Linked DNA regions of Arabidopsis thaliana. The protein of the gene in region 2 interacts with the protein of the main gene of each other region in a biochemical or structural test. Each region holds a gene or a part of one and is shown on either strand. Other genes may lie near its edges.

What was found. The genes of interacting proteins can lie anywhere in the genome.
Region 1: the proteins of G4 (region 2) and TCH2 form a complex in vitro, tested with the Arabidopsis thaliana proteins (one study listed by BioGRID).

What each region holds. Positions count from the first base shown.
Region 1 is NC_003076.8:14,997,009-15,001,292, reverse strand, and holds TCH2 (EF hand calcium-binding protein family), read left to right. Parts: upstream 1-1,673; 5' UTR 1,674-1,732; coding exon 1,733-2,218; 3' UTR 2,219-2,312; exon of another isoform or gene 2,313-2,583; intron 2,584-2,681; 3' UTR 2,682-3,073; coding exon of another isoform or gene 3,074-3,342; 3' UTR 3,343-3,426; coding exon of another isoform or gene 3,427-3,559; 3' UTR 3,560-3,779; downstream 3,780-4,284. Other genes in the region: AT5G37760 (Chaperone DnaJ-domain superfamily protein), read right to left, coding at 3,074-3,342, 3,427-3,559, 3,831-3,931, 4,005-4,125. UniProt on the Arabidopsis thaliana protein: Calcium-binding protein that may positively regulate abscisic acid (ABA) inhibition of germination and seedling development. May be required for photoperiod-induced flowering and function in ion homeostasis.
Region 2 is NC_003074.8:19,215,397-19,220,998, forward strand, and holds G4 (UbiA prenyltransferase family protein), read right to left. Parts: upstream 3,733-5,602; 5' UTR 3,539-3,732; coding exon 3,388-3,538; intron 3,307-3,387; coding exon 3,262-3,306; intron 3,179-3,261; coding exon 3,093-3,178; intron 2,909-3,092; coding exon 2,821-2,908; intron 2,739-2,820; coding exon 2,653-2,738; intron 2,565-2,652; coding exon 2,478-2,564; intron 2,405-2,477; coding exon 2,339-2,404; intron 2,265-2,338; coding exon 2,181-2,264; intron 2,085-2,180; coding exon 2,023-2,084; intron 1,945-2,022; coding exon 1,869-1,944; intron 1,780-1,868; coding exon 1,635-1,779; intron 1,272-1,634; coding exon 1,195-1,271; intron 1,111-1,194; coding exon 1,063-1,110; intron 968-1,062; coding exon 905-967; 3' UTR 534-904; downstream 1-533. Other genes in the region: EM1 (Stress induced protein), read left to right, coding at 1-65; SAC8 (SAC domain-containing protein 8), read left to right, coding at 4,841-4,991, 5,127-5,201, 5,292-5,419, 5,522-5,602. UniProt on the Arabidopsis thaliana protein: Involved in one of the last steps of the biosynthesis of chlorophyll a. Catalyzes the esterification of chlorophillide a or b with a preference for geranylgeranyldiphosphate (GGPP) rather than for phytyldiphosphate (PhyPP).

The DNA.
Region 1 (4,284 bases), on a different chromosome or scaffold from region 2:
TAAAATAACAATTCTAAAAAAGTATGATAAACTAAATATATTATAAAACTTTTTTTTTAAAAAAACAACAACAAAATCCCGCGCGTAGCGCGGGCACTCACCTAGTCTTCATAATTTTTCATCTACACATTTCAAAAGGTACGAACAATGATTTGCACACACTATAAACAAGTAAGAAAAGAAGATTTACTGTGCTTTTAAGTATTATATATAAAATAGAAAATTAGAATGAAAAAAAAACATAATATTAGTTTTCTTTTTGTCGCTATTTATATATAAAAAAAATAATCTAAAATGACTATTTGATAGGCTAAGATTGTAGGAATTAGTACCGGTTTATAACTGATTTATAAAACTAATCACAAATTTTAATTGTTAATGTAAATATTATCATAAAATTAATTGTAAGAATTTATACCAATTTATAACAGATTTATAAAACGAATCACAAATTTAATTGTCAGTGTAAATATTTAATTAAATCGATATCATAAGATTATGAATATACTTAGCTATTTTGCAGCGGAAAGATGAAGGAACCGAGGTTGTAAACCTTTCCAAATGTGTGCCTCTACTGATATCCACATACATATAGACTTAGTCAAACAGAATGCTAGTACTGCAGAGATTAAATCTCAAAACATAACGACAAGTTCGTCTTTTATGTTTAGGGTTCGGCTGCTCAAGGCTATATGTCAAACGTTATTATATATCATTATATATAGCTAATACGTTTAACCTAACATACTTAGGTTTAGTAATGGGCTTGAGCTCAATCACTTCATTTCTTATTCGTAGAGAGAAATCATATTTGCCTCTTATTCCATGTGCACATATCAATATACATATACATGTATGTCAAATATAATATATAGATTTGTTATATTATTTTTTATTATAAATAATATATATAAATAAATCCAACATAATATTGATCCAATTTGTTTAGGTGTGTGATTTTGAAGGATCGAATAATATTAATGATGAACTTCTCAAATCATCGGCTATTTGGGATTGTTGGATTCATACTTTTATAAAGTTAGTAAAAAATTTATGTTATTTTAATTAAAACAAAAAAATCTCTGAATTTTAATAAATTTTATTATTATGTAATTGGTTCATGATTTCAACATTTTTTCCACAAAATAAAGTCATAGAAATCATAAAAAATATTATCAAAATAGAGAGAGCATTTGAGAAACTTTACAAGATTATGAATAACTAATCATCAAGATTATAAAAAAAGTCTCTAGCAATAATTTAAAATCTTTCATTTATTTACTTTCTATAATTTAATTAAACTCATCATAATTTCTTATAAATTAGAAACCAATGTTATCCACTTAGTCTTATAAAATTACTTGAATTTATGAATGAAAGTTTACCCAAAAAATATATATATATATATATATATATAGCTATATACAGAAATTTATTATAGCAACTTGTCCTATCTTTAATCAAAGACATTTTTCTTTTTATTATTGGTAAATAAACATTTTGGAAGCATAAAATATGTAAAGTAAATAAATCTTTGGAAAGTAAATAAATTTAGAATTAATAAAGATGCCACCAGCTCACGCAATCTCAACGCGTTTTAATTAAAAAAACGCGTTATTACGTCACCCTCTCTCTTTCCCTTATTTATAACCAAATCCTTCTTCTTCACACACACACTACTCTAACCGTTTTTTTTCTTCTCTCAAATCTCAAAATCTCAATTTCTTCAACAATGTCATCGAAGAACGGAGTTGTTCGTAGCTGTTTAGGATCAATGGACGACATCAAAAAAGTCTTCCAACGATTCGACAAAAACGGCGACGGGAAAATCTCCGTCGACGAGCTCAAAGAAGTGATCCGCGCTCTCTCACCAACAGCATCACCAGAAGAAACAGTAACGATGATGAAACAATTCGATCTAGACGGTAACGGATTCATAGATCTGGACGAATTCGTCGCGCTTTTCCAAATCGGAATCGGAGGAGGAGGTAACAATCGAAACGACGTAAGCGATTTGAAAGAAGCGTTTGAGTTATATGATTTGGATGGTAATGGAAGGATCTCGGCGAAAGAGCTTCATTCAGTGATGAAGAATTTGGGTGAGAAGTGCTCTGTGCAAGATTGTAAGAAGATGATTAGTAAAGTTGATATTGATGGTGATGGTTGTGTTAATTTTGATGAGTTTAAGAAGATGATGAGTAATGGTGGTGGTGCTTGAGGATTTGGAAGATTTCGCCGGAGATTAGATTAGTCGACGGTGATGATTCGTATTAGCAGATTAATTTTAGTGACGGCGATTAAAAACCCTAGAAGTATGTGGTGATTGATGAATATTGATTTTAACGGTTGTTTCTATATCTTCTGCTCTTTTTATAATTAATATGCTTTGTTGAGTGTTATTAGTCTTTAATATTCTGAATTAATTACTGATTTAACAGCTAATCGAATTTTTTTCTATAATGAATATATATATAGTTTCATTCATCACAAGAACAAATAAATTTTCGTAATGATTATTACTAATCTTCCCAACTAGTGGTACCGTTAGACAAATGTGAATTTTTCCCTTATGCATGATTCCTGTTATGGGCCGAGCTGGTTTTTAGGAGGCCCATTATAGCGTTGAGCACTATACAATTCACTCTATAGATTAATCTACATGTGCTAATTTGTCTTTGCAGAACCATAAACCATTTCTTGTGACTCCTCGAGTCCTTGATTTGCGGCACTTCCAGAGTCTTCCACTATTATACCTACACCTTAATTACAACAACTCAGTGGAACTAACAGATGATAAAGAATCTCTCTTTGAATAAGTACCACCACTTGTGTTTTTGGCTTTTTCCAATGGAGTTTTCTTATATTGCAATCAAAAGGTTGACCACAACGTGGACAAATTATGTCCTTATAAAGACAAAATATGGCATATTGGCATCGCATCTATTACACATTCTCCAATGAGTATCGTCTCTAGCATTTTTATTCCCAGTAGAAGATGCTAGCTTGTGCAGATTTAGTAGTTTCATTATCCAACGAGCAAGCTTATTACTTCTAGCCCCACCGTCTCTAGCACTTAACTTGTGTATATTGTAGGATTGAGTTGTTTCTTTATCCAACTAGCAAGCTTATTACTTCTTGCCCCAATATTTTGTGGGTTTGGTTGTTTCTGAATCTCGGTCTTTGCTTCTTTCGAGATCCTCCTTTGATCATAAGAAGTTCTCTTAACCTTATCAGATAACATACACCAAGCTTCTGTAACTGGCTTAAAGGCGCCTTCCGCGCCATTAAGGTTGTACTTGTCCGGATGAAGCAAAAGAGCTAACTTCTTGTATTGTTTCTTCACTGCTTCATCATAGCTAAAGGGTCTACATAAAGAATTCCATACCAATCAGCTTTTTCTTCTCCGTTTGATGCAAAGAGATAAACATTGATCATCATCAACACTTGTCTTTAAACCATCAAGTTTTGGATACAAATTCTGAGCCTTGTTAATGAATTTCTTCGCTCCATTGTAATCATTCTCCGAGAGTTTCCTCTCAGCAATCTCCATTGGAAACAACTTAGAAAAAATAATTAGCTCAGAATATTCTTTTGTATTGGAAACAACTTAGAAAAAAGGATATGTTCTTCTCATATTGTGTTTCAGTGTGGCTCCAAGCCAAGTTTTCCAGATAAGTGGTTTCATCTCCATTTTGTTTTCCATGATTTGCTTTCAATTTGCCATAAATGTGTCTAACACATTTCCTATGCTCTGAAATTTGGTAACCAGTAACATCACATTAAGACTAAAATCATAATATACGAACAAGAACATCCACACAAAAACATACCTTTGGTCGATCTGAGGTTATGATAAACCCATCTCTATCTTTAAGATCAAAATCAGACTTCACCATTTGGATAAACCATAACCATTTCTTCTCATTCTCCACTTGTACTATATCCTCATGCTATTTAATACATTTTGGTACATGCATCTCTACCTATAGCAGCAAGTAACTGACCTTTGAGTGTGCATTTGAGGAAAATACCATCTACTCCTATGAGTGGGGCGATATGTCTCCTTCCATGATCTTCTGATGATGTCAAAGCAGACGTAAAATTGATCAAACAGGTCTTCACCATCTGTTCCAGGGATGGTTTCAAGTGACACATTAGAATCTTTATTAGTTATTTTGATTGCTATATAGTTATTTTGATTGCTGTAAAAACTGTTATAAAATCAACTAATAACTTGACAAGTGACTTGTGAGGAAGATAATGTTTTATTGTTGCTGTAAAAAA
Region 2 (5,602 bases):
CTGGTGGAGAGCGTGCGGAGGAAGAAGGGATTGAGATCGATGAGTCAAAGTTCACCAACAAGTGATAGTAGTTACGAGCTACTAGTGTCCGCTGCAACAGTCTGTTATATATCATCTAATAAGTAACCTGCTTGTAGGTTCCGTGTTTGGCAGCGTGGATTTTAACTAGGGTCTAATGTAGCGCGTTTAGGTTTTTTGTGTTTTATATGTGTGTGATATAACTATGTATGGCTTGTACTAACGGCAGTGTTGTACCGTTCAAATGGTATGCGGTTATGTTATGTAATGCGGTTGCCGGTTGGTTTTACTTCGTGTCTTACTTGTGATAGTATGTTGTGTCCAACAACGTGAGACTTGATATGTTAAGATTGCAGCATATCAAATGGCTGTAGAATAGAAAAAAATCAGGTAGTAATAACACAGTTTCAAGTTGTTAAATAACATATGTATAGTCTAGTCTTTGTAGTTTCTCAAATTAATTGTATGAAGTTAGTTGGGTTACTAGCTAGTTGTTAGATTTAGATTATAAAAAGTTTGAGGAAGTATCATTTTTGTATATTACTGTTTTTATGTGGATACATGTTTAGAATCAATACAAAAAGTGATGAAAATAGTTAAAATCCACTACAGAAAACAAAAACATTCTGAAAGCAGAGAAGTGACAGAACTAACATAAACCCCAATCCTCGATATGAGCAGGAAATGCAAAAATGGAGCGCAAATACGGTAACATCAATTACAATTTCTCAGCCGTTTTGCTAAATTGATACAACAGGAGTTGTTTCTAGTAATAACGGTACATACATTTTACAAAATCTTTTAAACTAGTTGATGCCATCACTTGCCCACATTTGATGTGTCAACACCTCTGCTTTCGACAAAACCCCATCAAAATACGCCTTTTTCAGTGTTGCGATGCTAATGCCGTTACAAATATTCCGAGCACCAAGAATGGCTGCGCGCTTGCCTGTAATCAAGATGAGTGTTTCAAGCAACTTCTGATTAAGAGACCTCTCAAAGATATTTCAAAAGAACACAAACATGTGTACTAAGTTGACTTACCTGGTACTTGACGTCGTATTTGACAGGGTCCTTGAGAAAGTATTTAAACTGCAGTTTATAGAAGCGAGTGTAGCAATCAGACGAGTGACAAGAATTTGATTAATTATAATGTGAGACTGTTAACGTCTTTACCTGGAACACAATCTGAGGAATGATCAAAGCAACCAACGCCAACGCATAATAAGGTTTCCCAGATGCTAATAGATATCCTGCAACCAAAATAGACATATACTAATGATGATCTCTACCTTTGATTTGGTTCTATAACAATGATTGTGTAACTCATCCACTAGTAAAAGTACAAATGAAGATATAAGTTCTGTTATTTCATGACACTGTTGAAAATACTTGTTTTAGAAGCATGAAATGAAAATCCATCAATCACACTAATGAAACATAAAAGTAGATGCCTCCTCTTCATTAGCTCATTTCATTAGAATGTACTTTTATGTTTTGCCTTTGTTGATTCAGCTTCATTAATTTGTGCTTTACCATTGGTGAATATCCAGTTGATAAGATCAAGGAAAAGAAATAGAAGCCACAGCTGCACAAAAACAGTGGATAGTACATACCGGCAACAGAAAGCTGAGTAATGTCTATAGCACCAACGCATATCCATTTTGCAGTTTCGGTGCCAAAAGCTACTGGGAGAGACTGAAGTCCTAATGCTCTATCTCCTTCAACACTTTTGAAGTCGTTAACAATGGCTATTCCTAACTGCATTATCACAAAGGTACAACATGAAGCAAGAGCATATTACAACAGATAACGAAAAAAGCAACATAAAAGGTTTGCCAAAAGAGTACCCCAGCTATGCTGTACAAGAGTGTTAGAACAACAACATCTGGCGTAAGAGTGCCAAACAATGCTTGGCCAGCCCACCTATCAGTCAAGTGAGCAAGAAACAAATCAATGAGATGAGAACAACGCCATATATTATTGATACACGAGATATCTTACCATGGCAAACTAATATAGCTTGCTCCAAGTGCAAAATTTCCAACCCATCCATTTTGTTTTAGCTGCAATGAGATCAGTTCAGATATCGATATTCAAAACTCCAAAACTTGGATGGAGTGTCTTATCACTAGAGAGTGGAAGTTAGGAATAAAACTTACCTTAAGAGGTGGAGCAGAGTATATATAAGATAGCAATGATCCTCCCAAAGCAAGATAGAAGACAGTGGGAGTGGTATGCCCTGCCTGATAAGGGAAGATTTTAGCAAATCTGATGTGCCCTTTAACTGTACTAGTTAATGTCAGAAGGGCCAACTTACCCACACATCTAATATTCCAGCAATACCAAGACCTCCCAATAATAGCACCCAGACTTGTGTAATAACCTGCATTTTAAGGAGTAAGGAGAAATCAGAATCACAAAAGAGATAAAAGCTCACAATGTTCTGTCTCAGTTACCTCTGGCTCTGATATTGCTCCAGATGGAATTGGACGATATGGCTCATTAATTGCGTCGATATCTCTATCATACCAGTCGTTGATTGTCTGGAAATCGACAAGTCTAGGTTATTGTAGCACCAAGCAAATGCACTAGAATAAGAACAAGTCAGCTTTTTGTTGTGTAAAACCAGACCTGTGTATAGCCAGTAAGACAAGGACCAGACATCATCATGCAAAGAATCGACTTAGCAACATCCTCTGGGGTCCAATGAAAGTTCCCTGCCAGAAGAAACAATTGGAAGGAAAATGAAAAAACTTTCTGTACAGTATTGCATGATCCAAAAGAGGTTCGTATGATTACCTGAAGCAGCAGCACCACAGACGACTCCCCAAACCAGTGGAGGCCAAGTGACTGGTTTTGTAAGCTGAAGACGAATCTTCCATTTATTCTGAATACAGAATATAACAACAAACTCTTTTTAGCTAACAAACAACATTTTCACATCATTTCTAAGCTAAAAACAAGACTTGTCCTCAAAAGAGATTACCTTTAGTAGGAAAATTCCTAAACTAACACATCATTATCCACAAATATGATAATTTAAAAGATTCTGAGGAGATGAACAAAATTACAGTTTCTTGAGATGCTCCTTTGATACCGAGAAGCTGGTTAATGCTTGAACCACCGGCTGGTGCCTTGTCAGGTGTCTGAGATTTAACTGCCGTCGGAAATTCAAACGCCACAGTGTTTGAAAAGAGAATTTTGAAGAGAGAGAAAATAAAAACAACTAAAAAATCATACCTTTATCAGTATCAGTCTCCGCCGCACGCACAACAAATCTCCGCCCTACGAGAGATCCACAACAAGATCAGTAAAAAAAAAATCGAAGAAAACATTCATCAATCTATCCAACAGAATGCTAACTACCGGGTGATTCGTAGATCAACGTCGAGAAACCAGAACGCCGGCGAGTGAACTCAACGGAATCCGAATTCCGAAGAGAGAGGACTCCGACTCGATCGACGGAGGTAACTCTGGAAGAGTGGATGGTGGAGACAGTGTTGAGAATCGAAGTCATAGAACCGACGGAAGAGAGAATCGTCTCTGGTGGTAGTTAAGCCGGAGACTGGAGTGGTGTGAGTCTGTGAGTTGCTGTTTCGGGAAACGAGTGGTTGTCCGTTACCGGAGATAAGTAATGTCTACGTTACAGTTTTGGCGGCCTTTGATTCAATAACTGCCATGTGGCACGATCCTCTTGGCAATACTAGTTGTGTCGGATGTTAGTTTTGTTGGACAAAGGACCTTCATTGAAGCAGAATGGGCCCGGTTTAAATCCAAAGCCCAAACAAAACCCATTAGGGTTTCATTGAAGCAGAATGGGCCCAGTTTAAATCGAAAACCCAAATAAAGCCCAAAAAATAAATCTAATATTAATATGGGATGATATATACCGGGTGAAATCATAAAATTTAACAATAAAAATACAAATACACAATTTTAAAAGCTAACCAAAACTAACAATATTAACAAAATAAATATAATTTCAAATTTCAAATCTTTTAATTATAAAATCATCCCGAATTGTATCATACATTAAATAATCAATAACATATATCTATAGTTGCTCAATACCTTCGGGGATTACTCTACTACATAAGTCGTCTTGATTGAATAGATTTCCTGATGTCTAGTTTTCCTACTGTGGAAATCCTATTTAGAGTAGACTCACTTCAATGAAAGCTATTACTTCTTTATTAATGACTATTAACTATTATAAGATATTAAGACAAAAAGAATAATAAATCTAACAAGGGGATTATGATACATCTAGTTGTAGTTGATATCTTAAAAACAAAAAATTCATGTATTTGATAAAAATATAAGCCCGTGATATATCTTTTAATATATATCCTATAAATATAATATTAACTGAAATAATTTTTTTAACTTTCTAATAAAAATATCAACCTTCAGTCTCTTCATGTTCCCTCAAGGCAAAATTACCTTCAAGTCTCTATTTTTACTACATGTGGAACAATCAAATCAAGGAAGAGTCGGTAGGTGATGGAGATTCGCTTTAAATGTCTACGTAACAGTTTTGGTGGCCTTTGATTTAACTACTGTAACAATTTGTCCGGACGAAAGACTATTGGGCACAGTTTAAATTTCAGGCCCAAAGAAGCCCACTAGTATCCGGTTGAGAGACACGTGGCAACAGTCAACTTTGAAGAAAAATAATGAACAATCATTGACATTTTTTTTTGTTTCTCCTGATCCAGTTCTTAATTGAACAAACTCCAACAGCATCATCATCATCATCATCCTTCAAATTATTTTTCCTATTTTGAAAAATTTATTTGAAATCTCATAATTTACGTTAATGGAGATTGCTCCATCTACAAGTAGATTCAAGCTCTACGATCAATTCGAGCTTCTGGAGTTTCCTGACAAGTACGTCGTCAAACCCATCGAATCGCCTGAGGAAGGCTTCTCCGTCAATCGGCGCGATGGCAATATCAAACCTCTTGATGGTAATCCACTCTTCATTCTCAGCTCTCTCCCTTCCCTGTTTTGGTTTCAAGACAAAATTTGGCAAGAGATGATATGAAGCAAGAGTATTAGGCTGTTGTAGTGTATTTGATGTTACTGTTTCTTTGTTACTGCAGAAAACGCATCTTCTGGGAGTCCTACTAGAGTCTCTACTATCTATGGCGTAGGAGGAACTATTAGGCTCTTAGCAGGTGGAAAATGTTTTTCAACATTTCTCTATGTACTGTGTTGGGATCCAACAGTGATTTTTATATGCTGGTTTCGATTTCATTCATATATAGGAACATACTTGCTAGTTATAACGTCTCGGGAGGAAGTTGGAAATTTTCTCGGTTTACCGATTTTTAGAGTTACGGCTATGAAATTCTTACCTTGCAATGAGGCTTTGAGGTTTGCTACTGCTCAAGAAGTAAGGTTATTGTGAATTTCAATCGATATACGATTTTGTAGGGGTTTTGGAGTTTATGAACAAGTTAAGTTGTCTAAAGAACTTGGTCACTGGCTTTTGCAGAAAAAGGACGAAACATATTTTAGGACTCTGTTACAAGCACTTGAGACAACCCCTGGATTGTATTTTTCGTATGAAACAGAT